4 linked regions of the Struthio camelus genome follow. The protein of the gene in region 2 interacts with the protein of the main gene of each other region in a pairwise test. Links are inferred from orthologs where the notes say so. Each region holds a gene or a part of one and is shown on either strand. Other genes may lie near its edges.

What was found.
Region 1: the proteins of RBPMS (region 2) and HEYL interact in binary tests that used the Homo sapiens proteins (3 or more experiments, as listed by UniProt). The two-hybrid records come from large-scale screens. The link is inferred for Struthio camelus from reciprocal best matches to the Homo sapiens genes RBPMS and HEYL.
Region 3: the proteins of RBPMS (region 2) and FOXS1 interact in a two-hybrid assay, tested with the Homo sapiens proteins (2 studies listed by BioGRID and IntAct). The link is inferred for Struthio camelus from reciprocal best matches to the Homo sapiens genes RBPMS and FOXS1.
Region 4: the proteins of RBPMS (region 2) and PIN1 interact in binary tests that used the Homo sapiens proteins (3 or more experiments, as listed by UniProt). The two-hybrid records come from large-scale screens. The link is inferred for Struthio camelus from reciprocal best matches to the Homo sapiens genes RBPMS and PIN1.

The regions. Positions count from the first base shown.
Region 1 is NC_090964.1:8,092,883-8,100,410, reverse strand, and holds the start of HEYL (hairy/enhancer-of-split related with YRPW motif-like protein), read right to left. Parts: upstream 3,016-7,528; 5' UTR 2,734-3,015; intron 2,112-2,733; 5' UTR 1,794-2,111; intron 1-1,793. UniProt on the Homo sapiens protein: Downstream effector of Notch signaling which may be required for cardiovascular development. Transcriptional repressor which binds preferentially to the canonical E box sequence 5'-CACGTG-3'.
Region 2 is NC_090945.1:5,907,810-5,915,170, reverse strand, and holds the start of RBPMS (RNA-binding protein with multiple splicing), read left to right. Parts: upstream 1-4,346; 5' UTR 4,347-4,429; coding exon 4,430-4,492; intron 4,493-7,361.
Region 3 is NC_090959.1:18,560,303-18,567,016, forward strand, and holds FOXS1 (forkhead box protein S1), read right to left. Parts: upstream 1,759-6,714; coding exon 508-1,758; downstream 1-507. Other genes in the region: interferon regulatory factor 4-like, read right to left, coding at 3,432-3,572, 3,680-3,798, 3,888-4,283, 4,633-4,734, 5,068-5,164, 5,711-5,814, 6,365-6,554, 6,712-6,714. UniProt on the Homo sapiens protein: Transcriptional repressor that suppresses transcription from the FASLG, FOXO3 and FOXO4 promoters. May have a role in the organization of the testicular vasculature.
Region 4 is NC_090972.1:5,062,732-5,070,119, forward strand, and holds the start of PIN1 (peptidyl-prolyl cis-trans isomerase NIMA-interacting 1), read right to left. Parts: upstream 3,001-7,388; 5' UTR 2,900-3,000; coding exon 2,842-2,899; intron 580-2,841; coding exon 379-579; intron 1-378. Other genes in the region: FBXL12 (F-box/LRR-repeat protein 12), read left to right, coding at 4,625-4,684, 4,802-4,933, 5,338-6,111. UniProt on the Homo sapiens protein: Peptidyl-prolyl cis/trans isomerase (PPIase) that binds to and isomerizes specific phosphorylated Ser/Thr-Pro (pSer/Thr-Pro) motifs.

The sequences.
Region 1 (7,528 bases), on a different chromosome or scaffold from region 2:
ATGTTTTATTTGGGCAATTTTGAGTCTGCTCTCCTCCTTCCTTTCCAAAATGATTTCAGTTAAATATATATGCATCTCCAAACCAAACTTCCCATAAATATGTGTTTTTGAGAGATTAATGCTTTTTCCACTGATAAAACCATTTAAATGGGATCCAGAGATTGGTTATTTCAGGCTCTCGCTCACATCACGCCGAGCCTGAACCAAACGGAGCCCAGACCTGCCACAGAGGAACACTTTTCTTCTCCATTAGAAAGGAATTCACTGTCCAGACTCAGGCTTTTCTGGGCCTTGCCTAAGCATCATTATCTGGGTTCAATTGAAGTGTAATTGGCAACATGTTTTTCTAGGATTACACTTCATTATGAACAGAGCAGGGGCCCTGAAACCCACTTCTCCTGTAATCGGATCCATTTTCCAGCCTGTGCTCCTGGAGAGTCATTTATAATCGCCCCCAGCGAGCCCTGGGGGATTGCGAGAGCCATCTGAACCACCCCGGGATTAGCGCCGCGGAGCAGCCGAAACGGAGCCTGGGCTGAGCCCGCTCCCCGCTCGGGGCCATGGAGACGACAGGGGAGGATTAAAAGGAATCAGCTGCGTGATCGGGGAGCCAGGTGCCAGTAACCATCGCCCGTCGGTCTTGCGCGGGGGAGCGGGCTGCCCTGGTGCAGGGGAAGGGGAGATGGGCTGCAAGGACCACCGTGGGGAGGGTGCAGAAATCAGGTTTCTCCCACCTGCTTTTCCCCTCCAAGCACTCAGGGCAAGCTATGCCACGGCAAGCTTGTGCACAGCCTGGCCCCAAGCACAGTCCCTTGGATGGTGGGTCACCAGCCTCTGCCCTTGCCCGGGGTACCGCAGGGTTGGCTCGGCCAAGCAAGGGTGTTTATTAGAGGCAATCTCTCCCCTCACCCTGAACTGTCACCCTGGCCCGGCAGTCAGGGCTGTTTTCCCTCCTGTACGAACTCAGCAAGCACCACGGGACGCCTCCCCCGTGGCCCACCCTCTCCCGCGTCCCCGGGGCCGCGCGGGACGGCTGCCCTCCCCGTGCCGCCGCCGGCGCTGCATGCTCCCGCTCAGACCTGTGGGCAGGGCAGACGTGCGGGAGGTGGGCTGGCCTGGAGGAGACTGCTGCGGCTCTCCTGCTGCGGGTCGCGGAGCCAGCTGGTCGGCGGCTAGCCCCAGCGCACCTACTTCTAGTTCGCCGCAGCAGGACTCGGCAAACGCGGCCCGACCCGGGAGGGAAAGCTCCGGGGAGCGTGCTGCGGAGCGGCAGCCAGGAGCTGCGGTCCCGGCAGGCTGGCGAGAGCTGTCCCCGCCACGGCTGGCTGTGCCCTTACGTGGTGGGAGCCGTTTCCCGAGGATGGGTGTCACGAGTACGAGGCCAAGCGATCCATCTCACCCAGCGCTAACTGGCTACCCCGCTTTGGAGGCCAAGGAATAAGTGAGCTTGCAAAGCTTGATGTCCCTTCCCCGCAGCAGGAAAAACTCTCCAGGGCAGGGCGGAGGGTGGATCCCTGCCAGGGACCTGGGATTGCCCAGGTTTGCCTGTGCCAGCCCTCTCCCGGGGGTAAAGGACTCCAGCGCGAGGCTCCTCAGCCCGGAAGGACGGTCAGCCCAGCCACCCACCCCTGCGCTGGGACCGTGGCCTCGCTCCTCACTCCCCTCCCGCCTGCTGGGCTCTGGGAAATGTCCCCGGAGAGCGGCCAGCTGTGAAAAGCTGCAGCAGCTGGAATGTGGGAGGGAGGGCAACGCTTCTGGAAAGCGGGAGGCAGCGAGCGGGACGTATCTGTTACCTCCTGGTGAACTGACACCTCTGATTTAACCCCGTGCATGCCTGGAATGCCCTGTCCGCACGTCTTCAGTCAACATCACCTCCTAACCTCAGGTCCCACCGCTGGCTGCCAGATCCACAGCTGTAATTTCAAAAGCGGAGGCCTCGCAGGGATGCTGGACAGGATTCCTGGCTGCAGCGCTGCGGACAGGCTGTCTTGTTCTGCGGCTAAGCGGAGGGATTCATCACAGAGGGGAGAAACAGGCAGGGCTTCCAGGAGGTGATTCGGGATGAAAGCGTGTAGGTACGAATACGCTATCACCTCCGTGTTTTGTCAGATCTGGAGGGCGGCCAGGAGAGGATTGTTTGCCGTGGCTCCGGGCCAAGCCACAGGCACTACAATTGCGAACCCCCCCCCCCGCCCCGCTTCCCCGGCCCACGCAATTCAGAGCCAGCCCAGCCGACGGCTAGGGGCAGTCCGGGGGAGGGAAAAACAACATTTTCCCACAAACCCATGGCCTCACCCTTCCCCAGGCAGGCACAGGGCAGATCTGAGCCCGGCTGCCACCCGGTGCTACTCTGGCACGGCTGGGCTGCGCGCTCCCGCCCATCACCCCGCGGCCGGTCTGCGCCCAGCCCTGCGGCCGGGAGCGCGGCCCGGCCCGGGGGCCGCGGGCTGGGCGCCGCCGGGCTGCACCTGCCGGGCCCTCGGCCCACCGTGCCCCGGAGGCGCTGCTGCCCCCACGGGGGCTCCGGCCGGGCAGTGCTTTCCCCGTCCATAAGGTAGACGGCCATGGTGCAAACCCACCAGTCGGGCACTCGGTGGCCAGCAGAGAAGCAGCAATGAGTGAGAATTAACGTTGCACCAACCCCGGTGACAGCGAGGGTTACGGGCTCCCCCAGAAGCCCAAACTGAGGTCCGGGCTCCCCGGCGGCTAAACGGACAGGGCCCGGGAACTTACTGCTGGCGGACACGGGGCTGATCCTCTCTCACGTTGGGGTGCTGCAGAGGGTGACGTGGTCTGTGTGACCGCCGGGGCGTCTTGGCTCCCGGCTGTCCCGGGCAGCCTGAGGTGACCTCGGAGGTGCCAGTCCCGTCTCTCTGGGCGCCGGGGCGGGAGGCGCTGGAAGGACGCGGGTGGTGGATGCTAAAGCAGCAACGGGAGCCGGCTGGGAAAACCCATCCGCTGGTGCAGCCAAGGCCTCGGCCTTGCCCCGGGCCGGTCCCCGGGGGCTGGGGGAACACAACGCCTTTGTTTGCGACTCTGCCAGCCCTCGGAGCCCTTCCCTCGCTCAGCCCCAAAACAGCAACCCTTCAAAAGGCCTGGCCTCCCCCTCCCCGTCCCCCAGCAATGCTAATGTGCCAGGCCTCTTCCCATGAACCCTGGGAGAGATCAGGCTGGTAGACAGTTTCACCACTTGTTAAATGTGTGTTTAGCGATCTTGCGAGTAGACAAGAACAAACACAAACAAGGCGGGCTGGAGAGCCCCTGCCCCTCCGCCCTGCCCCGGCCCACCGGCCCCAAAGCCTTTCTTCTCTAACCACTTCAAACTTTCATTTCTTCTGAAGCCACAACAAGGCACACTTTGTAAAGCAAATGAGTAAACAGCAACTTTCAGCTTAAGGGGAAAACAAGGAGGAGGGACTGTTTTTAATTACTGGATTTTAAAAAGGGCTTTATTCGGTTAATTGCTTTCTGTTGTAAAACGCTCTTCTGCCCGCAGCCCTGGTTGTGGCTGCGTCGCTGCTGGCCAGATGGCATTGCAGAGGAAACGACAGCACGCGCTCGGTGCACGCGCGCCTTTGACGTTCGCAGACACCCCCCCAAGCCCTCCCAGCCCCATGGAAATGACAGGAGGCCCCAGGTTCGCAGACACCCCCCCCAAGCCCTCCCAGCCCCATGGAAATGACAGGAGGCCCCAGGTTTCGCTCCGGCACGACCACCATGGTGGTTTGGCATGTCCAACCCGCCTCACTTCCGAGGGACCGGAGGAAGGGCAGTCGGCACGCACAGGAAAGCCCCTGCAGCGTTTCAAGGCCCGTTCCCGAAAGGGCTGATAGCTGTTGATCGCCCTGGCTGCTGCCTGTTCCCTCCTCAGTCTGGAGGAACGCGGCATGTTCGTGCGAGGTGCCGCGCGCAGCTCAGCCCTGCCCGACAGGGCGCCTGTCGCCTCGCAGCGCTGCGCCGCTTGGCACGGCAGCCAGCGCGCGCGCGCGCAGGCACGCGAACACAAACGCGTGCGTGTGCCTCGGCGCAGCCGCGCAGCGCCGATTCCAGCTGTACCACTGATGAGCGCAACCAGCTTGGGAGATACCCCGAGTCCCCGCGGAGAAGGGGAAGTTGTCACTGCGCTAGGGACAGATGGTACCGGGAAGGGAGCAGGAGAGAGGAGGCAGCAGGAGCCTTTCCTCCAGCTGGACCGGCCTCGGGATGCAAAAGGATCGAGCGCAGGCTTGGCCTTAGGCACCCGGCGCCTGAAAGTGCCGGGGAGCCCCGGAAAGCCCGGGCTCCTCGCGGCCGCCGGCAGCTACCGAGGCTCCCGTCAGCGAGCGGCGGGCACGGGGCAGATGCCTCGCGGGCGGCGCGGAGTCAGCGCAGGGGAAGGTGGAGACAGGTTTTGCTGCCAGACAGAGCTGGCGAGAGCACGTGCTCCCTCCTTCCTCGCCAGCCTGGAAGGCACCGCGAGGGAGCGCGAGCACGCGCCGGGGGAAGCAGGGACAGGAAGGCTCCAGGTCCTTATTTGATAAGGAAAGGGATCATCCGGGGCCCTGCACCTCACCCGCAGGCATCTGTTGGCCCAAGGAAGATGAGCTTCAAGCACCCAGAGGCCGGGTGAGCAGCCAGGGTCCGCGTTACCGTCCTGTGACGAAACCCGGCCTGCCGGAAACCCGGCTCTCCTTCCTTGCACGGCTGCGTAAAGTACCATGCTGGCACGTGCAAGGTGTCGTGGGCCACTTCGAACTGGTCACTTCCTTCCCAAAAAACAAACACAGGAGACGAGAGCATCAGCTCTGGCACGAGACAGCAACCAGCCCTACCCAGGGAGTCCCGTGGGAGCAGCGCCCGCAGGCGGGCCGCGCCGGAGCGCCCCGTGCCCGCGGCGGCAGGCCGCTTTCCGGCCGCCGAGCGCGCCGCGGCGGGTGGGTCTGTTCCTGCCAGCAGCCAGCAGCTGGTGATGAATGCTCACTTTCTCTAATTGAATAGCAGGAAGTTAAATCTTGTTTCTTTGCCTTTCAGGCTGTCAGCTGGAACAATTGCCCACCTGTGGCACCACCCCGGGGATATAAATAAGGAACAAAACACAATGCTGTCAGAGGAACGGACTGCGTTCCCAGAAGATCTCCTGATATCGCATGCCATATTGCGCGCCCGCACCGGAGAGAGGGAGCCATAGCTGCGGCCCGGCGGGCACGCAAGCACCGGTGCGCGTTTCCAGGCAGCCACGGAGGCCGGGCAGCGTGGGAACGGGCTGCAGGGCAATGGGAGCGCATCTGCGGCGGGCGCGCAGCCGTGGCACGCCGGGCGGCGCGGGCGCGAGGGGCTAGCGCTGCAAGGAGCAGCATGCACACGCCGCAAGCGTGCACAGCCACGCAGCAGTTGTTATACGCGCTCCCTTGTGGGTGCTAACAGGCGTGGCGTGCGACACCCACCGGGAGATTTACTGCCGAGGCCAAAATCCTTCCTCCGCTCGCGGCCCCTCGGCTCGTGCTGGGGCTGCCCTGCCTCTCCAACAGCCCAGGCAGGGAGGCAGGCGGAGGGGCGCCCTCACCTGCGAGCTCCCGCGTTTTGCGGTGCTCTCTGCCAGGCGGGCTGCGAACCCGCGAGCTCCTTCCCGGGGCCGCGCTTCCCCCCGCCGCCTGCAGCGCTCGCGTCGGCAGTTCGCACGCCGAGCCCCGCTCTCCCCGCTGGGATGCTCCCAAGGCAGCAGCCGTCACAGCTGGGCCGAGCTTGACAGTTAAGCACAGCTGGGAGCCCAGCTGAGGAGGAGGAGGAGGAGGAGGAGGAGGAGGCACGGAGGAAGCCTGCTGCGGGCGGCGCGGCCCCTCCGTGCACGCCGGGGAGGGCAGCGGGAGACACCGACGCGCGCAGGCCGATGTTGTTGCTGCCAGAGGAAATTATTAATTTGCCGGGAACAAAGTCGGCAGTCAAAGACCCATCCTGCCCGAGCAACAAAAGCCTCCGCTCCCCCCTCAGCCTCTCCGCCCCCCCCCCCGCCCCGGCCCCACGTGCGGCCCCGACGCGGCCGGGCAGGGATGAAACGGAGGCCCGGCTTCACCCGGACGCCGAGGGCTTTCGCTCCGGCAGCGGGGGCCCCGGCAGACATCCCGCCGGGCCTTCGCCAGTCGCTGTGGCAACAGGCCCGGCGCGGGCGCCGCTTCCCTGTTTGTTTTCCCCCTGTCTCCGCCGCCGCGGGGGCGGCCATGGCCTCCCTCCCTCCGGCTCCCCGAGCGGGGCGCCGGGGCGTTCAGGGCCCGGCAGCCTGAACGAAGCCAGATCCCTGGACACATTCCTGTGGGTTTTTTTTTTTTTTAATTTTCCCTTTTCCCTCCCCTTTTTTCTTTATTCCCCCCTCCCTTCTCCCTTGCTTGGCACCAGCTAAAGGATTCAAAAGGAAGCCAGGCTTGGCAGACATGGGGGGGAGGAGGGAGTGGGGGAGATGAAAGAAGGCCTCTCTCCCGCTTTCTCTTCCAGTTCCCACACTCAGCCCGGCGCGGAGCGCTCCTAATGATTCCCAGCCGCACCTGGGGGAGGCCGCCCGGCCGCCGCGGGAGCGAGGGGCCTATTTACACCGCGGGCGGGAAGGGCCCCAGCCTGCTGTGGCCACCCTCCTGCTCGCCACCACTGGGCCCTGCCTCAGTGCCCGGGGGGGTGCCCGAGACAGCTGCCCCGAGATGGCCGCCCTGCCTCAGTGCCCAACATGGCTGCCCCACCTCAGTGCCCAAGATGGCTGCCCCGCCTCAGCACCCAACATGGCCGCCTCACCTCAGCACCACACCTGAGGCCTCAGCGCCCGGAGCCAGAGCTGGCACTGAAGAAAAACCCCTCCGTTCCCAGCTCGGCAGGAACCAAACGGGCACCCTTCCTAATGTGGCCACGCCGCACATGCCCAGCGGGCTGGCTGCGAACACGACAGCCCGGGCTTGCACTGAGGCAGAGGCGCCCGCTGCATCCCCGCACGCTCCCCAAATCGCACACTCACGGGAGCAGGGACGGGAGCAACGGGCGCCGCGAAAGGCGGCGATGCCCCCGGGAGCGGCGGCATCCGCCACCACCGTGCCACCCTCGCCACAGCCCTTCCCACCATCTCATGGCCCCGCCGGTGCTGAGACGAGCGCCCAACGCGCGTGACTTTCCGCCCCGCGTTCCTTGCGGACAGATGCGGCTCAAAACAAACACCACGCCGAGCCAGCGCGGACGGCTCTGGCTCCTGCAGTGACCGGTTCGAGTTTTCCTTGATTTATACTCCCTCCGAAGCAATTCCCCAGATAAAGGTCTGGCTGCAGCGCGGGGCGTTAGCAGGCCGTCTGGGAGCAGCGTTTCATTCCTCAGTGGTCCCATGTGTTTTGATTGGCATCGGGCCCCGTTTTGGGGGGGGGGGGGGAGGACGGCATGGAACCAGCCGACTTGTGCGTCCCCGGCCACAATCGCTTTATCTCGAGGAGGAAACCGCTGCTCCGAGCTCGCCGCCGGCCCCAGCGCTCCCGCTGACGGATGCGCCGACAAGGACGCGCCCGGAGCGCGTGCCGGGTCCGGC
Region 2 (7,361 bases):
CAGCTGGCAGAGCTGGTGTGCGCGGTGCTGCCTGGCGGGCGAGGAATGCCTGGAATGGTCTTGGAAACAGAGAAGAAAGAGGTCCTTAAAGCCACCTGCAGAAGCAAGCGGGGCTCCCCGCAGAACTCGCAGGCAGGCTTTCTTGGTCGAGCACATCCATCTTTCCCAGCCTGGGCCAGGTTTCCCAGGGAAAGCCCTTGCCCTGGTGCTCATTAGTGAGTCTGTGTAGGGCAGAGCAGCACCCCCATCTTGTGCCTGCTCAAAGCCTTGTCCCTCACACCGCCCTCTTCAGGGCTCCTTTTTCTCTCCCGAGTGGCCTTGTGCTGCTTAAGCGTTTGCACATATGTGAGAGACAAGGTGCAGCCAGACCTGCAGCTCCCTACGCTGTCAGCACTATATGCTTATGATACGCTGTGGGCCTTACAGCCAGCGATGGTACAGGTATGATAGAGGAAGCCATGGTACTTGACTCCTCTCCTATGAAGAAAGGCTGAGAGAGCTGGGCCTGTTCAGGCTGGAGAAGAGCAGACTGAGTGGCGATCTCATCAACATGTACAAGTATCTGAAGGGGGGGTGTCAAGAGGATGAGGCCAGTCTCTTCTCCGTGGTGCTCAGCGACAGGACAAGAGGCAACGGGCAGAAACTGAACCACAGGAAGTTCCACCTAAACCTGAGAAAAAACTTCTTGACTGTGAGGGTGACAGAGCACTGGAAGAGGTTGCCCAGAGAGGTAGTGGAGTCTCCTTCGCTGGAGATATTCAAAACCCACCTGGATGTGATCCTGGGAAATATGCTCTAGGTGACCCTGCTTGAGCAGGGGGGTTGGAGTAGATGATCTCCAGAGGTCCCTTCCAACCTCAACCATTCTGTGATTCTGAGATTCTGTGACTCCACCGGGCAGGGGGGGCACAGAGCCTGCCAAAGTGGCACGTCTTATTCAACAGCCGGAAACTGGTTATCAATACACAAGATTTCCTCCCTCTCATTTGGCTCTTCCTACAACTAAGTCAGCTTTTTCCAAACAATTATTCTCCATGGGATTGCAGAACTACTGACAACACTGCGCAGCATAGTCCGATACCTGCCTGTTTTTTCTTCACTTACCTGTAGGCTGTAAGAGACAGCAAGTGCTAGAAAAGTGGTGACACCCTCTCTCCTCTGACCGCTGAAAACTGCCTTCTGTTCAGCTTGCTTTTCAGCCCATTCACTCGGCGCTGTGGCAAGATTGGAGCACAGCTGCAGCTTCTATGGCCGTCTGCTGCACTTCTGGGGAGCTTCAGATGTGCACAAGTTTTCAGGCAGATGAATGTCACGCTGACCCATAGAGATGTTTTTCATAACTTTCCCTTCTACCTTTGTAAAATATGTTCTGCAGTTTTATCCCAATGCAGAACAAAACTGAGTGTTGGAAGGAACAGAATTTCTCGCAGGAGAGAAAGCAAGAGCCACTGTTTGTACTGGAACCCCAAACTTCAGCTGAGATGCAGGAAACTGTTTGCTACGGCATTCCCTGCTTGCAACTTTAATGCGGACGGATTTGGAACCGAGGATTTCAGGTAGAGCACGGCTTGACATAAAAGCGAGGGAACGTGCACTACAACTAATAAGATTTTCTCCTTAAACTTACAGGGATATCAAAAAGCTGGATTTGGGCCTTGAATTTCCAAACTGCGGCCCATTGCTGCTTGGAAACTGTGTGGCTATTCTCCAAAGCAGTCTAAATACGGGCTGCAAATATTGTCACAAATATGACAGTTTCCATCTAATTGAGGTAGACCCCGCCAAGTTTTCTTGTTCAGATGACCAGAAAGATCTTGCAGTTGAAAACAATGGAAGAGAAAGTAATGAAATCAGGGTGAACCGCGCGGACTTCCATATATGCCACTGAACTCAAATAATGCCTCTTACGTGCTTAGCAGCGTGGTTTCAAACAGGCAATTGAAAAAAAAAGACATGTTGGAGCTGGAAAAACAAAAAAGTTGCACCAGTGCAGAGCCCCGGGTGGTGGCTGCTGCGAGAAAGCACAACGTTCCTGCGGGTCCACGCTCGGAAGCGGTCATTTGAAGCCACCTATGAAAAAAATAAGCCTCGTACGCTAGCCTGAGTTGACCTGTTGGGCAGTCGTGGAAAAGCCTCTTTTCTGCTCACTTTTCATGCTCGCTTTCAGAGCTACAGGGGCCTGCTATGTCTTCACCTCGCAGGGGAAAGCAGGGAAGCAGCCTGGGTAGCCACCAAAGGGCCCCTTGGCCCAGCTAAGGGGCTATCAGTCGAGCGCCGCTGTCAGCAAAAGCGTTCCTCCGACAGCAAGCACGCTGCAAGTACGCTCGGCAAAACCTGTGGCGTGGCACGGGAAAGATTAAACAAATCTCTCCTTTCCTCCTCGAGCCACCTTAAATTTCATACCCTGTAGGACAACAGCGCCCTCAATAGCTGCTACAGGGGTTTTCTCCTCTCAGAGGTAAAGAAAGGCCAGGTTTCTTTCTTAACTCCCAGGCTTTCATTCGTATTTGTTCTGCTTCTTTGTTTCCTTGATTGCTTTTCAAGAAAGCTTTGAACAGTTAATACAATTCTGACAGAAACAGAAATGCTCTCTTATTACAGAGGCACCCAGAGGGCTGGTAAATATTACACTAGGCTTGTGCCTCAAAAGTGACTTTTTTGCTGAAAAAGCCCACCAGCCCATCCCAAACTTTCCATGGATAATGGGCCATTTCCAGGCCTATAAGGGCCCTATCCTAGGAAACCAAACATACAACTCCAGGAAGAATATGCTGCTAAATTTGTTCGGTTCTCTCCCCTGGGAGTGGTTTAAACCCAGCTGTTCCTCATGTCCTAAAAATGAGGCAAATTTTCAAAATCTCTTCCTCTGAGGTAAATTCCCAGCAACAGCCCTATTGCCGTGCAGCCGCTGAGCAGCTCTACACCATGTTTGGGGAGAAAGCAGCAAAGCACGGACGGTACACGACAGGTTCCCGCGGGATCCTGCACCCCCGGCTCTCTCCAGGGCTGATACTGATTTTGGGCTGCTCACTCACCTTCTGATAATGAACAGCACATACAGGTAAATCCAGCAGCACACTGAATTTATCCCAACGGCCCCGGCCACGATTTCTAACTGTGGTGGCTCAGGTTTTCTGACTGTAGGCACCGTCCTACCAGGAAGAGAGAGAGGTGGGAGACCAAGACACCAGTCCTCAAACGAATCCCGATTGCCTCTCTTCCCAGCATGGTGAGGTTGCACCTGTGCCACAACTCTGCAGAAGCCTGCAGACCAGGGGCACCGTCGCTCTGCTAAAAACCCCCCATCCCATCTTTTTCCCGGTGGTGAGTGAGGTCCCTTCTTTTTCCCCTGCTCACCAAGGTAACATGTTTTTTTTAGAAGTGCTCGGGCCTCTGCCTGCTCTTTCTGACCCTGAGGCTGCTCAGGTGGCTCGCAGGGCCACCTGCTATCCCAGCCGGACATCTCCCCGCTCCCGGAAATTCGGACCGCACGGCTAGTTTCAATCTAGCTCCCACCAGGACAAGTTCTGCTCTGTAGGGGAACATTTTTTGAGAGGTTGGAAGCTTGCCAGGTGACGTTGGGGGCATTTCGGGTAAGCGCTGCCACATGGGAGGGACACTTAGCCCCCCGGAAGAGAGGGGCTCGCGTCCCCTCGCCTGCCCAGCGCCGCGGGAGCAGCCTCCGCCCGCGCCCGAGTGGCCCCAGTGTGGGTAGGACGAGCGGCCCAGGGCGACGCGCAGACGGACAGCTGTATTCGATTTGGCCGCTCTCTCCAGAAAGGCAGGCTGAGCCTTGAGGACCGCGCGTGGCCCTCCTATCTGCTGATGGGGCCGTTTATCCCCCGGGGGCAATCCCGACCTCCGTTAAAACTTGTTTAGCTCTCCGTAGTCTAATCCCCTCGGCCAGCCTGCCTCCTCGGGCCTGGAGGGCTGCTCGGGAGGAGGCGACCGGCTCGGCCCCGCTCACGCCACGTGCTGCGCGAGCCCCTCTCGCTGCCGCCGCCTGACGCAGGCAGTTTGCCAGGTTCGCTGTTCCCCCCGCGGAAAGGTGCTACGGACGGAGGCGTTAAGCGTCAGCTCGCCTGGCGCGCACGGAGACGCTTTTAGGGACTTTTCCCCGAATGCCGGGGCAGGTTTTTGGAAATGAGCAGGGCCACCCCCCAGCCCCTTTCAGCATCTGATGCCAGACGACTGACGAGGGACGGGGAGCACAAGCCGGACGCGGCGACAAAACGCGACGAGCGTCGCCCCCAGCGCCTGGGCGGCCCCACGCGCGCGGCGCCCCCGCCCCCCACGCCGCCTTGGCCCCGCCCCCCGCCCTAGACGCCCCGCCCCCCACCGGCCCGGCCCCTCCCACCACCGCCGCCGCCCGCCCGCCCGCCGCCGCCGCCGCCGCCGCCGGCGGGAGCAGCCTGGCCGCGCACGCAGCATGAGCAACCTCCCCGCCGAGCGGGACGGCGGCCCCGCCGAGCCCGGCCTGCCCGAGGAGGAGGTAGCGGGGTCCTGGGGGGCGGCGTGGGGTGGGGACGGGGACTCCTCGCCCCTCTGCCGGGCCGCCGTGGCGGGGGGGAGAGGTGCGGCTGGAGCCGCGGCTCTCCGCGGAGGCGGCGGCGGCGGACGCGCGGGCTGTGACACGGGGGCATCCGCGTTGGCCCGGCCAGAAAGTTTGAAGGGGGCGGTGGGGGTGACCGAAACAGGGCAAACCTCTCGCATCGGCGAGCGTGAAGCCGGGGTTTGGGGTTTTGGGGGGGGGGGGTTATTTTTTTGTTTTTTTCCCCCCGCAAGCGTCCGGGAAGGGGTTATTTGGCCGCGTCGTCCCAACAAAGTTGAATTTGCCGGCTGAAGGCGGGCGGAGCGGCGGGCAGGCTCCGGCGGCGCAGGGCAAAGTGGTGCTGCTCGACCCCTTTGGAGCTGGGGCAGGAGGGCCTGTTTCCTCGGCCCCCAAAGCAGCTTGGGGGCCGCTGAAGGACGCGGAGAGGTTAGGGGGAGGGAGGCGTGTGGGGAAAAAATGCACCCCGGCCTTTTGTTGCAAGGCGTCGGACACCGTCAGGACCGTCCCTGCCCCAACCTGGTGGTGCTGAGCGTGGTTGCAGCTGAAGGAAACTGCTTTGGGACCGCGCCGGGCCTGTGTGGGCCAAGGGCAAAGGTGCTGAGAAAGGAGGAGCCGCGTCCCTAGGGCTTTGTCTTGCCCGGGGAGGGGTGATGGCAGCAGGTGCCACCAGGGCACGAAGAGAAGAAGGGGATCGGCCCCAGGAGCGTATCATAGCGGGCTTGGAGAGGGAGGACGGACAGGTGGTACCGTGCGGTGCTGGGTTCCTGCTCTGTGCTGCGAGCGTGGCTTTAGGAAGGGGCCGGTTGCTGGTGCTCGCAAGCTGGGCTCCTTTCCCACCATGGCAGGTCCTTCCCGCACCTGCCTCCTCCTGTGCCAAGCCGGCAGGTACTTCGCTGGCACAAGCTTATACCGGCGCCGGCTGGAAGCGCTGGCGCTTGGGAGTATTTGCGTAAGGACGCTCGGAGCGGGTTGCCTAGCCACTGGGTTGTGCATACCTCTCCCCTTCCTGGGAGGTCATGCCGGAGGGCTTTTCTTTAAACTTTGTGCCCTCCCTCTCCCCCCGATGCTGTGTTTTACCCCAAAAGAGGAAGAAGCAGACCCTGTCTTGAGGCTGTAGATCCTGTGCCGGGAAGGCGGGAGGTCGGGGCATGTGGGCTCCCACAGCAGGGAAACCCGCAGGCTTTCCGGAGGTTAAAGCAACGGTGCTGCGACGTGTGATGGGCCCCCGGTTTCCGTGCGGGTCTGGCCCAGAGCCTAAGCCGACGCTCGGATAAGTCCGGCCAGTTCTCCTTTGTCTTCCCGGGGCTCGCGGGAGTTGCTCCAGCCTCTCCTGGCAACGGGCAGGATGCGTGGGGCATCCCCTTCCCTGTCGCTCCAGCCCCGTTCAGCGCTGACTGGCGTGGGTGAGCCGCGGGTTGGAAGGTCCCGGCAGAGGAGCCTGGCAGGGGTAGAGCCGTTGGAAAAGAGGTCGCGTAGCTACGGCCGGGCGAGAACGGCATGTAAAAGAATAGACGGAGGCCTTATTTGGTAGCGGAGCAGCTCCAGGGAGTCCAGCCCTTGTCTCCATGGCCGTGCCAGCTCCCCCAGCGCGGCTCCCAGCACAGCGCGGCTGGGCTGGTGGAAACGCTGCTGGCGTTGCTGACTGTATCGTCCCAGGAGGTTGTGGGGGGCTCGGGCACGGGCAGGGGGCAGCCAGGGTGGGGAGAGAAAGGGTGGCACGAGCAGGGCTAGGCACCCCTGGGGACGCTTCCTAGCGGGAACATCTCCAGCAAGTCGGTAAGCTTTCCCTGCGCAGCCACCTCGCCCCGTGGTGGAGCTACGAAGACTTCCCTTTATCTTGTCAGGAACTGCCTGTGGTTCGGCGTCGCTTCCCATGTACTTGTGCTTCCCTCCCTCCTTTAAGAAATGCCCGGTCTCGAGGATTTGGGAGGAAAGCTCCAAGCAATGACACAATTGTGCATGACCTCAGGCCCCAGCCCCGGCCCGCAATCCAGCCTCTCTGTTGCAATCTCCCATCTGCTCCCTTGGCTTCTTGCTTTCTTTTGCTCACTTCCTCGTTCCAGCTTCGCCTCCGGAGCAGCTCCCCCACATTGTCCTCAGCCCTCGCTTGACTTTGTTTTCCCAAACACTGCTCCTCTCCTTGCTTTCCCTGCCTACCCCAGCAGTGGTTTTGTTGGTGATCTTGAGAAGCGGCTCCAGGTTGTGGAGCTGGAGGTCTGAGCGGAGGGAAGGAAAGCCCAGACCTCCCTGTCTGGAAGAGGTCTGTGCTCGCTCTCCTGCGTGGCCTGGTGCAGAGCATGGAGCCCTGTGCCTTCTCCATCCTTGGCGCCGTGTGGACCCAGGTGTGCCACACGCAGGCCTGGGACATACGCGGTGCCACTTGCAAAGCAAGTATCTCGGGCCTCATTGACTGAAGTCTTGTTTATGTCAGTGAGTTTTGTGGGCTTGTGACATGCTTACACAGAGCCCGGTAATCTAAACCAAACCGAGGGAACACTCCATTAATGGAGAGAGTATTTACGTAAGGGCTAATCCGCGCGGGGCTGGAATGCACCCCGCTGCAGGGGAGCAGGGGCAGCGCCGGCCAGGGCTCCTCGCCTCTCCTCCTCCTGCCCCAGCTCCGTGTTTAGGGCGCTTTTCCCTTCGCTGGGAGGAGGGGGTGAAGTTCCACTTTCCGTATTTTAGGGCTTTATCTCAGCCCTAAGCCAGCGCGGTGGCCTGGAACGGATTCATCTGCCTCCTCCTCCTCCGGGCCCGGCTCTGCTGCCACGGCGCTCCCCTCCCCTCAGCCCCCCCATGCTGCGTGCAC
Region 3 (6,714 bases), on a different chromosome or scaffold from region 2:
GTCGGTGACTCAGCCGGTGCCTCCTCACCGGCAGCCGCCCGGGATGATTCAGGTCCCAGGAATCCCGCAAAGCGGCAGCCGCTCTCCCGGCCGGCCGGGCCGTTCCCAGGGCGGCCGAGCGGTGCCTGGCCCGGCCGGGTCCCCTGCACCCCGCGGCGCCCGCGGGCGCCCGGCAGCAGGACGGCTCGGAGCAGGGAGGGAGGGCGCCCGTCCCAGCGCAGCCCCTCGGCGCCCTGCCGAGCCCCCTCCGGGGAGCTCCCGGGGCGCGCGAGCAGGGCCGCGTGCTGAGACCGGTGCTGCTCGTGGCACGTGCGGCCCGACGCTCGCGAGCGGTCCCGGATGCACGGCGGCAGCCTCGACGCCGGGCGTCCTGGCCCCGGGGAGGCCCCGAGCCCCCGCTCCCCCAGCCCGCGCCGGGCGCAGAGACGACAGCAGGCAGCGCTTGGGACACGAGCTTTATTCCTCCCGGGCCCCGGCCCCGGGGCAGCCCGCGGGGCGCCCAGTCCGTCACTCGAAGAAGAACATGCCGGGGCTGCGGTAGAGGCAGGGGGGCAGCCCCAGCGGGTACCCGCCGCCCCCGCCGCCGCCCCCCGGCCAGGGCTCCTTGGGCTCGGCCGCCCGCGGCCCCCCGGCCCCGCAGGGCGGTGGGCGCGGGGCGCCGGGGGCCGGCGCGGCGGCGGCGGCCAGCAGCTGCTCCAGCGCCGCGCCGCACGGCTCGTTCACGCAGAAGCTCAGCGCCTGCACCCGGCACTGGTAGCTGCCGCCCAGCGCCTCGGGCCCCGCGCAGCCCAGCGAGCCGAAGACGGGCAGCGCCGGCGCCTTGTAGCCGTCGCCCTCGAGGAAGCAGGGCGGCGGGGGCTGCCCGGCGCCCAGCAGCGGCCCCGGGAACACGGCGGGCACCGGCGCGAAGGGCTGCCCCAGCCCCAGGGCCGGCGGCTCCTTGCCCGGCGGGGAGGCGGGGGGCGGCGGGGAGCCCGGCGCCACGTCCCGGAGCTCGGCGGGCAGCGGGGCCGGCCGCTCGGCGGGCAGCGCGTACTGACCTGGCCGGGGCGGCGGCGGCGGGGCCGCCGGCAGCCCCCCGAAGGCAGTCTCGGCGGGCTGGCGGGGGGCCGGCGGCGCCTCCGGCGGGTACGGGCAGGGCGGCCGGGCGCGGGGCGGCAGCCGGCAGGGCCGCGAGCCGCCGGCCAGCTCGTCGAGGCTCAGCAGCCGCCCCGCGGCCGCCGGCGAGGGGTGGCCGCCCTCCGCCTCGGCCCGCTCCGGCCCCGGGGCGGCCGGCGGCCCCCGGCAGCGCGGCGCCCGGGGCGCCTTCCCGCGGCCCCCGTCGCCCTCCGGCGCGTCCCGCGGGCCCCGCTTCCGGGTGAAGCGCCGGCGCCGGCGCAAGAAGCTGCCGTTCTCGAACATGTCGTAGCAGTCGGGGTCGAGCGTCCAGTAGTTGCCCTTGCCCGGCTTCTTGTCGTCGCGCGGCACCTTGACGAAGCACTCGTTGAGCGAGAGGTTGTGGCGGATGCTGTTCTGCCAGCCCTGCTTGTTCTCGCGGTAGAAGGTGAAGCGGCCCATGATGTAGCGGTAGATGCCGCTGAGCGTGATGCGCTTCTCCGGCGCGCTCTGGATGGCCATGGTGATGAGGGCGATGTAGCTGTAGGGCGGCTTGGTGGCCTCGCCGGCGGCCGGCGGCTCGGGGCCGCCCAAGGGGCCCGGCTGGCGGGGGGGCGGCGGGCGGCTCAGCGCCGAGCCGCCGCGCGGACGGTCCGGCTGCATCCTGCCTCCCGGCCGGTGCCGGCCCCGCCGCCGTCCCGCTCCGCGTCTGCCGCCCGACCCCGCCGGCGGCCCGTTAAAACCCGCCGGCGGCCCAGCCTCCCGCGCGGGCCGGCGAGGGGGCGGCGGGCCCCTCCTCTCCGCCGCCGCGGGGCCGCCCAGGGCGGAGCGGGGCTCCCTCGGCCGGCGCCGGGCCCCGCGGCCGGACGCGCCGCCGGGGCGCCCGTGGGCACCGGCCCGGCACCGCCGCGGCAGGGCCGGCGCCGGCGGGCAGGCGGGTGCCCGGCTCGGCCGATGCCCCGGGGCTCGGCGCCCGCTCCCCCCGCCCGGCTTCCCCAAACCCGCTTCCCACTTTCCGGGTCGCGCGGTGGGAAAGTGCCCCATGCACCGGCTGCACCTGGGGCTCATCCTGCTCCTGCTCGCGCCGCTCGGCCCTGGGCAGCGCTCCCTGCCTGCAGCGGGGTGCTGAGCGGGGTGAAGGCGGCAGGATGGAGGCAGCGGAGCCCCGTTCCCGGCCGGCCGGGGCTGCCGCCCTCCGTCCGCCTCCTCCTGCCCCCGGCGCCTCGGCCCCTGCCCCGAGCCTGCAGTTTGTGCCGTGTCCCGCACCGCGCCGGGTCCCCGCACCGCACGGGGTCCTGCATCGCGCCAGGTGCCCCCACCGCACCAGCAGCGCACACGCAGTGGGTCCCGCACCGCACCGGGTCCTGCAGTGCACCCGGTCCCCGCGTTGCGCCAGCACCCCGCATCGCATGGGGTCCCGCACGGCACCGGGTCCTGCATCGCACCGGGTCCCACACCACGGGGGGTGCCCGCATCATGCTGGCACCGCACATGGCACCGGGTCCCGTACCACGCCAGGTCCCTGCCCCACGCCAGCGCCCCGCACCACGCTCTGCCGCCTGGGCACATCCCTGCCATGCTGCCGCGCGAACCACATCCCAGGAGCCACCTCACCCCGGGGGAAACTGAGGCACGGGGCAGCGAGCCCCTTGGGGAGAGGCTGCCGGCTTGTCGGCAGCTAACGGGCCGTCGCTGCTGCCTGCACATCCCGCCCGGCGTCAGGAGCCGGAGTGCGAGATGGGTCCGACCCAGCGCGGGGGCAGAGGGTACGGGAGGGTTTGGGGCGCGGCGGGCGGATCCTGCTGCCCTCCCAGACCTCAGCCGACAGCACCGGCCCGCTAAAGCCGCCCGGCGCTGGGGACGCGCCAGAAAGCCCAGCTCCGGCTAGGAGCGCCGGGTGCCTGCCGACCCCGCGCTCACCGCCGCAACGCGTGCCACCGTGCGCGTGTCCCGGGGCAGCGGTGACCCCCCCCGTCCCCTGACACTCGGAGCCTGCGGTACTAAAACACCTTTATTTCTAACGTGCCCGAACGGCGGGTCCCCGCGGCGCCAAGGCAGAGCGGGCGCCTCCCCGCCTGCGCCGAGGGCGCCGCGGCCCCCGCTCACGAAACAGAGAAGCCCGCAGCAAACCGAAGCCCGGCCGGGATCTCCGACAGCTTCCAGGGAATAAATACGGCGGTGCGCGGCTCCGGCCCCTGGGGACGCCGCGGCCCGGCAGCGCGCCCCTGCCGCGGGGTCCGCGCCGCGTGCTGCTCCCGCGGCCCCGCGGGCGCCGGCGGGGCCGGGCGCTCTGGGCGCGGGGCCGGCGCGGCCCTCCTCTCGCGCTGCTGCGGGGCTCAGGGCTGGCAGAGCTGCTTCAGGACCTGGAGGACGTGGTTGGAGGCGCCGGGGGCGCACGGCTGCGAGGCCTCGCGCAGCAGCTGCGGCCCCATGCGCTGGGCGTGATGGAAGAGCTCCCGCGCGAACACCGGCTCCACCTGCGGGGGCACGGACCGCCGGGAGCACGGGCGCAGGCGCGCGTCCCGTCCCGTCCCGTCCCGTCGGTCCCGCGCTCCCCTGTCCCCCCACCCCGGCGCCTACTCACGTGGGCCATGATGAGCTTCTGGAAGTGGTGGCCGGCGCTGGTGGGGTACTCCTCGCCGAAGCACAGGTTGATCTGGTACTGGGGCGAGGGCTGCCCGTGGCTCAGGTACCCCCGCAGCTCTGCAAGACGCCGGCCCCGTCAGCGGGGCCGAGACCCTCGCCGGCGGCAGCGCGGCCCCCCGGAGCCGCAGCAGCGCGCGGGCACTTACGCTGCAGGAACTGCTGCGTGTCCAGCAGCTTGTAGGTCTTCTCCCGCTCGAGCTTGTTGGGCCAGTCGCTGTGCGGGGCCAGCGGCCCGTTCCAGTACACCCTGCCCTGGCACTGGCGCTTCATGAAGACGCCCTCGGGGGCGACCCAGAGCAGCACGCCGCGGTCCAGGTGGGGCAGCAGCCGCTCCAGCACGTCGGTCATGCTGGCCACCCGGCTGTTGCCGCTCAGCGCCCGCGGCGGGGGGAACTGGATCTGCTCCATGCACGAGGGGCCGTAGAGCCGCTCGCTGTCGGCCGGCACGGCGCGGGAGGTGATGCGGCAGCCTTCGGCCGTGCGCGTCGTCAGCTCCTTCACCAGCACGTCGCAGTAGTAGAGGCGGACGTGGAGCCAGCAGTCTGGGCGAGGGGGGGTCAGCGCCCGGGACGCCCAGCGAAGGAGCCGCGGTGGCTCCCGAAGGAGCTGGACAGGAGGCCGGGAACCCACCGGAGCGCCCGGCGCCCCGTCGCGCCCGGTTGCCAAACGCGCAGCAGGGTCCCTTATGGGAGCCCAGGTCTGCTACACCCCCCCTTCAGCAGGGCTACGCGGGGGGGAAGCCGGGGTTCAGTTCGGCTCAGACCCGGAGGAAGCCCCGATCCCGGGGTGCTTCTCGCCCGGGCCGGGGCCGGTGCCCGGCTTGCAGCGCCGGCTCCGGGCTCGCGGGGAAGGGGCGTCCCTGGGGGCGGGGGGCGCAGCCGCGGCTCCTACCTGAGTGGTTGATGTCCTCGGCGGGGACGTAGGACGGGGGGCCCGGGAGGAGGTGGCCGGGGGCCGGGTTCCAGCCGTAGAAAACGCCCCGCACGTGGTATCCTGGGCGGGGGCGGAGGGCGGGATGGCAAAGGGGCCCTGGCGGCCGCCCGCCGGCTCCGCACCACGCGCCTCCGCGGCGGCTCTCCCGCTGCCGCTCGTTTGCTGGCTCTCGTTAGAGCCCGCCCGTGCCGGAGCGGGCGACTGGCTCCGGGGCTGGCGGCAGGGAGCCCCCGGCCCCGTCCTGCTGCTTCCCTTCCCCTGGGCGCTCCCGGGCGCCCGCAGGACACGGGTCCGGATCGGGAGCCGCCCGCTGGGGCGAAGCCGCCCTTCGTGCCCTGGGAGCCGCCCGCGCGGGGAGCGACAGGCTCAGGGAGAAGGAGGCTCTTCCCTTACCGCGGTCCGCCGGGTGGCCAGAGGCCAGGGGCAGCGGCGGCGCCGTCTCCGTCGCGCCCTTCCGGCTCTCCCCTTCCAGGTTCCCCGCGGCGCTGCCCTGCGCAGGAGAGCGGCGCCGGTGAGACAGGCCGGGGCCGGAGCCGGCAACGAGGGGAGCTGAGCTGGCTCCTGCCCCGCTGCCGGCCCCCCACCCCGCGGTGGCAAATCCCGCGGCCGGGGGCACCCGCGACGACGCTCGGGAGTGGGATGAACGTGCTGCCGTAAGGCTCCCGGAGGCGCCCAGGACCGCGGCGGCACTCCCACAGGGGCTCAGCCTGGGACTCGGATGGACACGGCAAACCCCCAGCCGGGAAAAACGGATGCGCAGGGAAACCGATGGATGGAAACATCAGTGGGCTACGAGCCCTGGGAGAAACCCCGCAGGGCACGGGGGACGCGGGGCAGCGGCGGAGCCGGGGAGGCCGGGTGCCGCGGTCCCCGAGCGCAGCCGTCCGTGGCGGAGCGAACGTGAGCGAGACGAGCAGGGACGGACAGGACGGGCCATACGGGGGACGGGGCGAAGGAGCAATCGACCGGCGCGTGGGAGCACGCGGGAAGGGGAACGGCTGACGGGCGAGGGGGCATTCGGGCAGCCGGCTCCCACCTCCTCTGGCCTATAGCTAACGGCCGTGGTGGACGATGCGGCGCCCGGGGGCTGGCTCACCCGCTGGTCCTTGCAGGCTGGCGACTCGGTGCTGCCATCCTTGTCTGCAGAGAGCATGGGAAAACGCGCTGACCTCCCGACGGAGAGCAGCCGCGGGAGCAGGAGCGGCCGCCTGGGAACGTGCCTGGCTGCCAGGCGAAGGCTGGGGCTCCGCGCCCCCCCTTGGCCGGGATCCCGGGCACAGCAAACCCAGCTCCGACCGCACGGCAGCCACCCGGTGCAGCCGGAGGAGCTGCCCCGTGTCCGGATGCCCCCCGGGATTGGCTCCTCTTGGGAAGGGGGAGCGCTGGAGGGGCTTTGCCCCAGCAGCGGACGGGGAGCTAACGGAGAAGCCAGGCTGTGCGAGGGCGACGTGACTCTGCCCAGCCAAGGCACCGGCCAGGTTTGCTCCTCAGGCTTCCTCCCTCCCAACCCGGCTGCTCCCTGCACCGCTGGCTGCGGACCAGCCTGGCCCGGGACACCGCAGAGGAAGAGACCGGGGAGGAAGGCCCAAGGCGGTGACACCCGTGGGGCACAGGGCTCGTACAGGAACGGCAAAGACACCAGCCACGACTCTGAAGCAGCCCGGTCCCAGCAGAGGCCCCAGGGCCCTACCTGCGTCCCGGGCCCCGTCGGACACGATCTGATAGACCTTGTAGGGCTCGGAGATGTCCAGCTGGCTCCGCTCGGGCACCTCCTGGAAGTCGGTGCTCTTGTTGAGCGCGCAGCGGAGGCGCGTTTTCCAGGTGGACGGGTCGGCCTTGTCCGTGCCTTCGTGGTACTTCCCCTTGTAGACGGCCCAAGCCTGCGGGGCAGACGGTGCCCTGCGGTCCGGGGCTGCCGGGGCGCTGCCCGCGGCCCAGCTCCGGCCGGAGCGGCGGGCGGCCCCGGGGGGCGGGTGGAGGGCGCGGAGCCCCGGCGGAGCCCGGGCGGCCCCGGGCGGCGGAGCCCGGGCCCGGTACCTT
Region 4 (7,388 bases), on a different chromosome or scaffold from region 2:
CATATTAAACAAAAAGAGATGTTTAAAGAACATTTGTTTTAGCTTTAAATAATTACTTTATTTTTAATATAAAAATACACATTTACAAATAAAATACAAGCAAACCTCTGAAACAACATTACAAAAAACATAAGGGGAAGAAGGCACATGGGGTAGGACTATGTCATTTAATCACAGCCAGCAAATCATACAGCAAAATTGTTTCTCCAAGTGGCTATGCTACACGAAAGTCCATGTTCAAACCACTTGGCTCAAAAACTTTGCTTTAGAGAGTTCACGACACACTGAACCATTCATCTCAGGGTTCAGTTCTAAGCCTTAAAATGACTTTTCCCCTACAATAGTATCACTCTTTCTCTCTCTCCTGCATTTACTTGCCATTTATAAGCTCCAGTGCCTCATCTTTGGTCCGCGTGATCTTTTCCTGCCTCCACGATGAGGGTCTTCTGGACTGGTTGTGTTTCACCAAGAGATGTGAACATCGCACTTTGGTGGGCTCCCCTTGGCCATTCTTTCCGCTGCCGCTGGGACGTTCCCACTGGCTGGCATTTGTGATGTGGTTGAAGTAATAAACGCGGCCTGCAGACAGAAAGAGAGCGTCAGGGTTATAAAAAGCTCCTGTCAGACCCCTAGAACTAGCTTCTTTCAAGGCCCACTAGACAGATAAGACCAGATTTCTGCAAGTAGGTGAGACTGTGGTCGGCCGTGTTCAGATTATCAATGCCAGCGCAGTAAAAACATGGTATCGCACACAGTAGTTTATAGCTCTGTATACATCATTTCCTACACAAATGGAAACACGAGTTTAGTCAAAGCAACAGCTCTGCGCAGAAGCAGACTCCAGCAGCTCTTCCAATTTAGGGCAAGTCATGAAGCTCCCATAGATCAGGGCCAAAAGCACCCACTGCTCCAGTCAGAACAACAAACGTTCCCACACAACACCCTGCCGCTGCGGCCAGGGTTAGACCACAAGTTCGCCTATGTGAAGTGTTGATTATTCTTAAGAAAGCAAGGAGCGCAGTCAGCTCCCAGTCACGCGATGGCAACACATCCTCTAAGGAGGCACGCGGTAACACGGTGGAACCCTGCCCTTTTGCCCCTGCGCAGCTAGGGATCGGTGCTAGGTCTCTGGTGTGCGGATATAAGGTTGTATTTCACTCTAGCACTATCTGCAATGGTGAAACAAGGTAAAGCCTCTCGGTTAAGTGCATCATTTAGCACAGGCTGCAGCAAATGCAATAAATTACCCTTACCAAAGGTCCTGTCTTTGTATTGCTCAGAAAAGCCCAATTCCAAAATCACTTTTTGTTTCTACCAGAAAACAAGACCTCCCCACACAAAACGCTCATGCCTTCCCCCTCATAGCAGAAAGTAAAGTTCTGATTAAATCATCTATGAAAACACCACGTTCAGCACTAAAACAAAGCCAGTTAATACTGTCATCCAGTGACAGGGATGCACCACTTGCTTAAAGGCCTTCCAGTGTTGGCTCAGAGCTACATGTTCATTTATCTGCAATAATTCACAACTGTAATCAAGATGATTTCCAACTTCTATTGCAGCATTCATCTTAAAGCATTCCAGTGAAACCAGAGCCACAGAAGACTCACAAAAAAAGCCCATTCTGCCAGGAAATCGAGGGAGGGGGAATGCAACAGCAGTGGTTAACTTACTATGCAGTAGGAAGTCATGCTGTAGTGACAAAGGGCCCAATTCCCCGGTTGCAATCCCAACCAGTGCCATACAGTCATCCGTGTTTCTCCCTCCAGGAGGCCACTAACAACCCAGACTTGACAACTCCACACAATCACAAAGCTCCCTATCGCCAGGGCACTTCAACCATCGCAGTTTTAACAAAGAAGGCGTCACACAGACACCTCTTCCCTTTCCACGCTTTGCCTCCCTGGACTCATCTCCCCCACAGTCAAGCATGAGAACACAGCATCCTAAAAACTGCTTTTGAGCCATTAGGTCCCATAACATGGAAAGCTCTAACTAGAAAGGACAAAAACTCTGCTGAAAACGCCATCCTGACCAAGGACTTCTGCTCTCGAGCTACAAAGTCACAGCAGCCACACTGAAGGCAAGACATCCTGCATGTTCCGATGGGGGCTCTCAGACAAGGGTCTCGCTGGGCTCAATCCCCCCATCCCCAGGCCTCCCCGCCAGTTACACAGGGACGGAGCAGCTGCCAGCACCACCCTCCCCCCAGGGGTGCAGGGCCAGCACATCCCTCACCCCAACCCAGCTCCCAGAAATCACGCTCCATCTCCCCTTGTAGATCAACATCCCACTGGACATAGGAGCTGCCCCTCACCCCCAAAAGCCCAAACCCTCCCCCCAGGTCAGGCACCATCTTAGTCAAAGCAGCCCCAGAGTCAGGCACCCTTCAGGACCCCCCCCCCAAAAGCCTGAACTTCAACCCCTCGAGAACCTCTCGAGACCCACCCCAAAGTCCAGCTCACAGCACCTGCCCCAGAGCCCCCATCTCTCAACCATCCCCCCCCACAGCCCAGACTACACCCTCAACACCCCCAAAATCCACCCCCCCCAACCAGGCCGCCTCAGACCCAATGACCAGGCCCTCAACACCCCCAAAATCCACCCCCCCCAACCAGGCCGCCTCAGACCCAATGACCAGGCCCTCAACACCCCCAAAATCCCCCCCGCCCGGCTACCCTCATAGCCCCCAACCAGCCCTCAACACCCCCAAAAACCCCGCCCCCCCCGGCCAGACCCCCCTCAGACACCCAGCCCCCCCCCGCCCCGGCCAGGCCCTCGCCACCCCCAAGGCCCCCCCGCCCCGCGGGGGCTCAGCGCCGCCGCTGCCGCCGCCCGTACCGGAGCTGCGGCTCATGCGCTTCTCCCAGCCCGCGGGCAGCTTCTCCTCCTCCGCCATCTTCCCTCGGCCGCGGCAGCTGCGCCTCCCGCACCGACCTCTCCCGGCCCGGCCCCCATTGGCGCGGGGGGCGGGCACGCCCCGTCCCCGCTCTGCTCCCATTGGCCCAGCCGTGGGCTACGTCCCTCCTTCGTGCGCGAGTCCTCAGCGCCATTGGCGGAAGCACGCACCATTCCGGCACTGATTGGCTGCGGGCGGGAGGCCGCATTGCTCCCGGAAGCGATCGCGGGGCACGTGACAGGAGGCCGGACGGCGGCCGCCGACGCACAAAAGATCCCAGAGCGCGCCCGCTTCCCCCCCCCCCCCCCCCGGCGCCCGCCCGCACCGGCCCCTCGAGCCGCAGCACGACAAGAGGGACACGTCGAGGGACATGTTTATTACAAACTAGCCAAAACACTCCCGAGAGGCTACAGCACATCTACTGCCTCCATGCACGAATGCGGGGCGCTCGGCGCGCTGGCCGCGCGAGGGGAACAGAGGGAAGGCATCAGCCAGGCCAGGCGGGGAGTGGGGACGGCGCGGCAGCCGCCGCTACTGGTAGTAGAGCTCCAGGTTCATGCCGTCGTGGATCTCATCTGAAGCAGCAAGTTAAGGTGGTTCTGGCGCAGGGCCCCCGACAAGCTTCCCCCAGCGCTAAGCTGCACCCCACGCTGCCTTTGGCTTGCTGTACAACGTCCCAAACCAAACAACACTTGTCAGGGACGTGCTCCACCCCCAGGGCTGCCAGCAGCGGGGAAGGAGGGCGAGCGCTGCATGCGCCCAGCCGCTTCCTCTCTGCTCACGCTGCCTGCTTGGGTTTGACGCGCGCGTTGTTCCAGCGTTCCGGCTGCGCGTCCGGTAAATGTTCTCGATCTCTTATTTAACTGGGAAGTTTCCCCAGAGAAACCTTACTGAGACTACCACAGCAAGAAGGATACAGTCTCCCAGCGTGACATGGTCCTTGAAGATCGTGTACCTGCAGTTATCGTGAAACGGAGATCAGTCTGGCACACGTGACCCCCCCACAGGTTAAAGCAAAGGAAGACGCCCTGGGAGCGGTGCAGCCTCAGCCTCCCCAACAGCCCTGCTCCCATCAGCCCCCTCATGGAGGGGCAGCAGCGGAGACCTAGCGTGGTTTTGAAGCCGCCCGTGACAGCCCGGCCAAGCAACGCTACCCCAAAACGGGCCGGGATTCCCCTCCCGGCTCCCCCAGCGCTAGGGCGCAGCCGGGGGCCGCTCGGCCGCACCCCAGCCCGGGCCAGGCGCCGAGGGGGCCGTTGGCCGAGGAGCGGCGGCCGCCGCCCGCCCCGCTCACCACTTCTTGAGCACGATCTTGTCCCAGCGGGTCCCAGTCTGCGCTGCGATCAGCTTCTTCAGGTCGCGGATGGAGTCCTCGGTGCTGGCGGCGCCGTTAAGGAAAGCGGGACCGGGAGGAGCCGCCGCCACCCCCCTCACCCGCCGCCCCCCGGCCCCAGCCCGGGGATACTTGCATTTCACCCGCACCTTCTTGCCCAGGCGGTCGTTGCAGACGACTTCGATCATCGTTCCTGAGGGAAGAGAGGCGCCGCCGGCAGCGGGGGCTGCGAGGGGGGGGCCGCGCAGAGGAGACCCGAGCAGGCCACTCCGCCGCCGCTGACGACTGCCCCGCCGGAAGCGGAAGTCGCCGCGCCGGAAGCGGAAGTCGCGGGTGCCCTCGCGCCCCGGAAGCGGAAGCGCGGCCGCCGGAAGCGGAAGCGGCCCGTTGCCATGGCGGAGGGGGCGCCGGGCGCCGGGCTGGCGGCGCTGCCCGACTCGGTGCTCCTGGAGGTCCTGGCGCTGCTGCCGCTGCGGGACCGGCTGCGCGCGGGCAGGTGCGGCCGGGCCGGGCCGGGGCCGGGTCTCGGTCCCGGTTCCGGCGGTGACCGGCCTCCTCTCTCCCCACAGGGTCTGTCGGCGGTGGCGGCGCCTGGGGCAGGACCGGGCGCTCTGGAGACACGTGGACCTGAGCGCGCACCGGGTGGGGGACCGGGGGCTGCAGCCGGGGGCTGGGGGCTGCCCGGGGCCGGGGGCTGCTCGGTAGGGACTAGGGGTTCCCGGGGACCGGGGTGGACCGGGGCTGCCCAGGGCCGGGGGCTGCTCTGTGGGGGCTGATGGGGGCCGGGGGCTGTACGGGGCCCGGGGCTGCCCGGTGGGGACGGGAGCTGCCCGGGGGCTGGGGGCTGCCCGGTGGGGGCTGGAGCCGGGGTCTGGGGGATGCTCGGTGGGGACTGGGGACTGCCAGGGACCGGGGGCTGCACAGGGCCGGGGGCCACCCGGTGGGGACCAGGGCCTGCCTGGTGAGGGCTGGGGTTGCCCAGCAGGGACTGGGGGCTGCCAGGGGCTGGAGGATGCCCGGTAGGGACTGGGGGCTGCCAGGGGCTGGAGGATGCCCGGTAGGGACTGGGGGCCACCGCGCGAGGCCTGACTCCCTTCTCGCTCAGGTCAGCTCCAGGACCCTGTGGCACCTGCTGCGGCGGCACCTGCGCGACGGCCTGCGGACACTGAAGGTGAAGGGCGCGCTGTGCTCGGCGAGGAAGCACGAGATCCTCTCTCCCGCGCTGCTGGCCGCCCTCGGGAGGCAGTGTCCCCGCCTGGGCCGGCTGTGCCTGGCCGAGGCCGACCTCCGCCCGCTCCCCTACCAGAGCATGCCTGCTTCCCTGAGGACGCTGGAGCTGAGTCACTGCGAAATCCCTGCTGCCTGGTTCCAGGGCCCTGCCGCGAGCGCCCTGCCCCAGCTGCAGCATCTCATCGTCCGGAACGTCCCTGCCTTTTGCGACCAGCATCTGCTAAACGTCTCCTCCCAGACTCATCTGAAGACGCTGACCCTGTCTGGGACCTACCGGGTAACAGACGCAGGGATTCAGAGAGCAGCGGTGTACTTGGGGGGGCTGGAGCGCCTTGTGCTGCGCCACTGCGTCATTACCGACTCCGCTGTTCGTTTCATTGGGCGCCATATGAAATGTCTCCGACTGCTGGAGATCAGCAATGCTTATTCCTTGACAAATGCAGGTTTGGCTTGCCTAGCGACCCTGAAGTGCCTGGAAACGCTCTGCCTTGACCTCTGTGATAAGTTCTCCCCTGATGCCATTGTTGCTTTGTGCCAAGCACTCCCCCAGCTGAGGAATCTCAATTTAGATGGGGCTCATTTTGAAGATGAGGCAATACATAAAATTCAGGCGAGTTTGCCTAACTGCAGCTTTTCACATACTCCTTGATACAGATTCTGAAGCAAGATGTTAACAGTTTAAAGTGGCAGGACGCTCGCCCTTCATCACCAAGCTTCAAATGTGCTTTTTTGGGTAATGATTTTTTTTTTCCTGGTAACAGTTGTATGCTCCCACTCAGGCTAAAACAGTGCTGTGAAAAGAGCCAATTTTCACATTGCAAAGTCATGTAAATAGCTTGGTGAGAACTTGCTTCTGGTGGGATCCCTCCATGGATCAGGCAAATTGGAAAGTCAGTGAATACGCAGCTGTTTACGTTTGGGAACCCCAGCAGTGAATTGACCAAGGGCTGACAGAGGTTTCAGAGAGTGAGCAAGCGAGTGAGCACACGTGTGTGTCCATATTTAACCTCTTCCTGTGCCCTGTTTCACCCCTGTGCTGAGCATCAGGCAGCAGTTCAACCAGCACAGAATTCAAGAGATGAAGTGAGATGCCCTACTGCCCCCCACCAAAAACAAACTACCAAAAAAAAAAAAAAAAGCTGCCCAAAACCTAGAACTCCAGTTAATATCTAACTTTGATTGCTCAACCACCCTGTGTGTACGTTCCTAACTATGCCTAGGAAGAAACACTTAAAAGGCTGCGCTTCAGACACGTGCTGCCAGAGTTGGTTTGTTCTCGGAACAGTTCGGGTGACCTGCTGCCCAGACACCGAGTGTTTTCATAGTTTGGGCTGTCTTCTTGCTTTTATCTTCCTGCCAAGTTTAGTCCTGAAAGTTATTTTTCAAAATGCAGAAAAGTTTGGTTGCAGATCTTCCTAATTGCTTGTTCCCAAAAGCATCACATTCCATTTGTGGAGAGAAAGGGCACCCATACGTGCTCCTGGGCATCAGAGGGGGCTGCTGTTACCTCTCCTTGTTTTGCTGGGCTGTGCTACCGCGAGCAGCCACATTGCCTTATTGTCTTGTATTGTTCACATACTGCTCTTACTCAAGATGTTGTAACAGCAGGGACGTGACAGAAAAAACTTACCTGACATTGCAACTGAAGCTTTGTGACATTGCTGTTCTGGACTGTTGGGTTACCCAAGGATGCTGTTTTTAATCAAATACTGTATTTATTAAATAAAAGTGTTTTTGACTGTTAGCCTTCCTCATGCTATTGGAATATTTTGACTGAACTGTCATAAGTGTCTTTGTTAGAATATGCAAGTCAGGCAACCTTTGTCACTGCACAGTCGGTGTGCTCAGGTGTTAACAGCTGAAGACCTGCTGCCCTGCGGTAAAGCAGAAGGGAAGAGTTGCACACGAATCAAAATGCAGTGATAC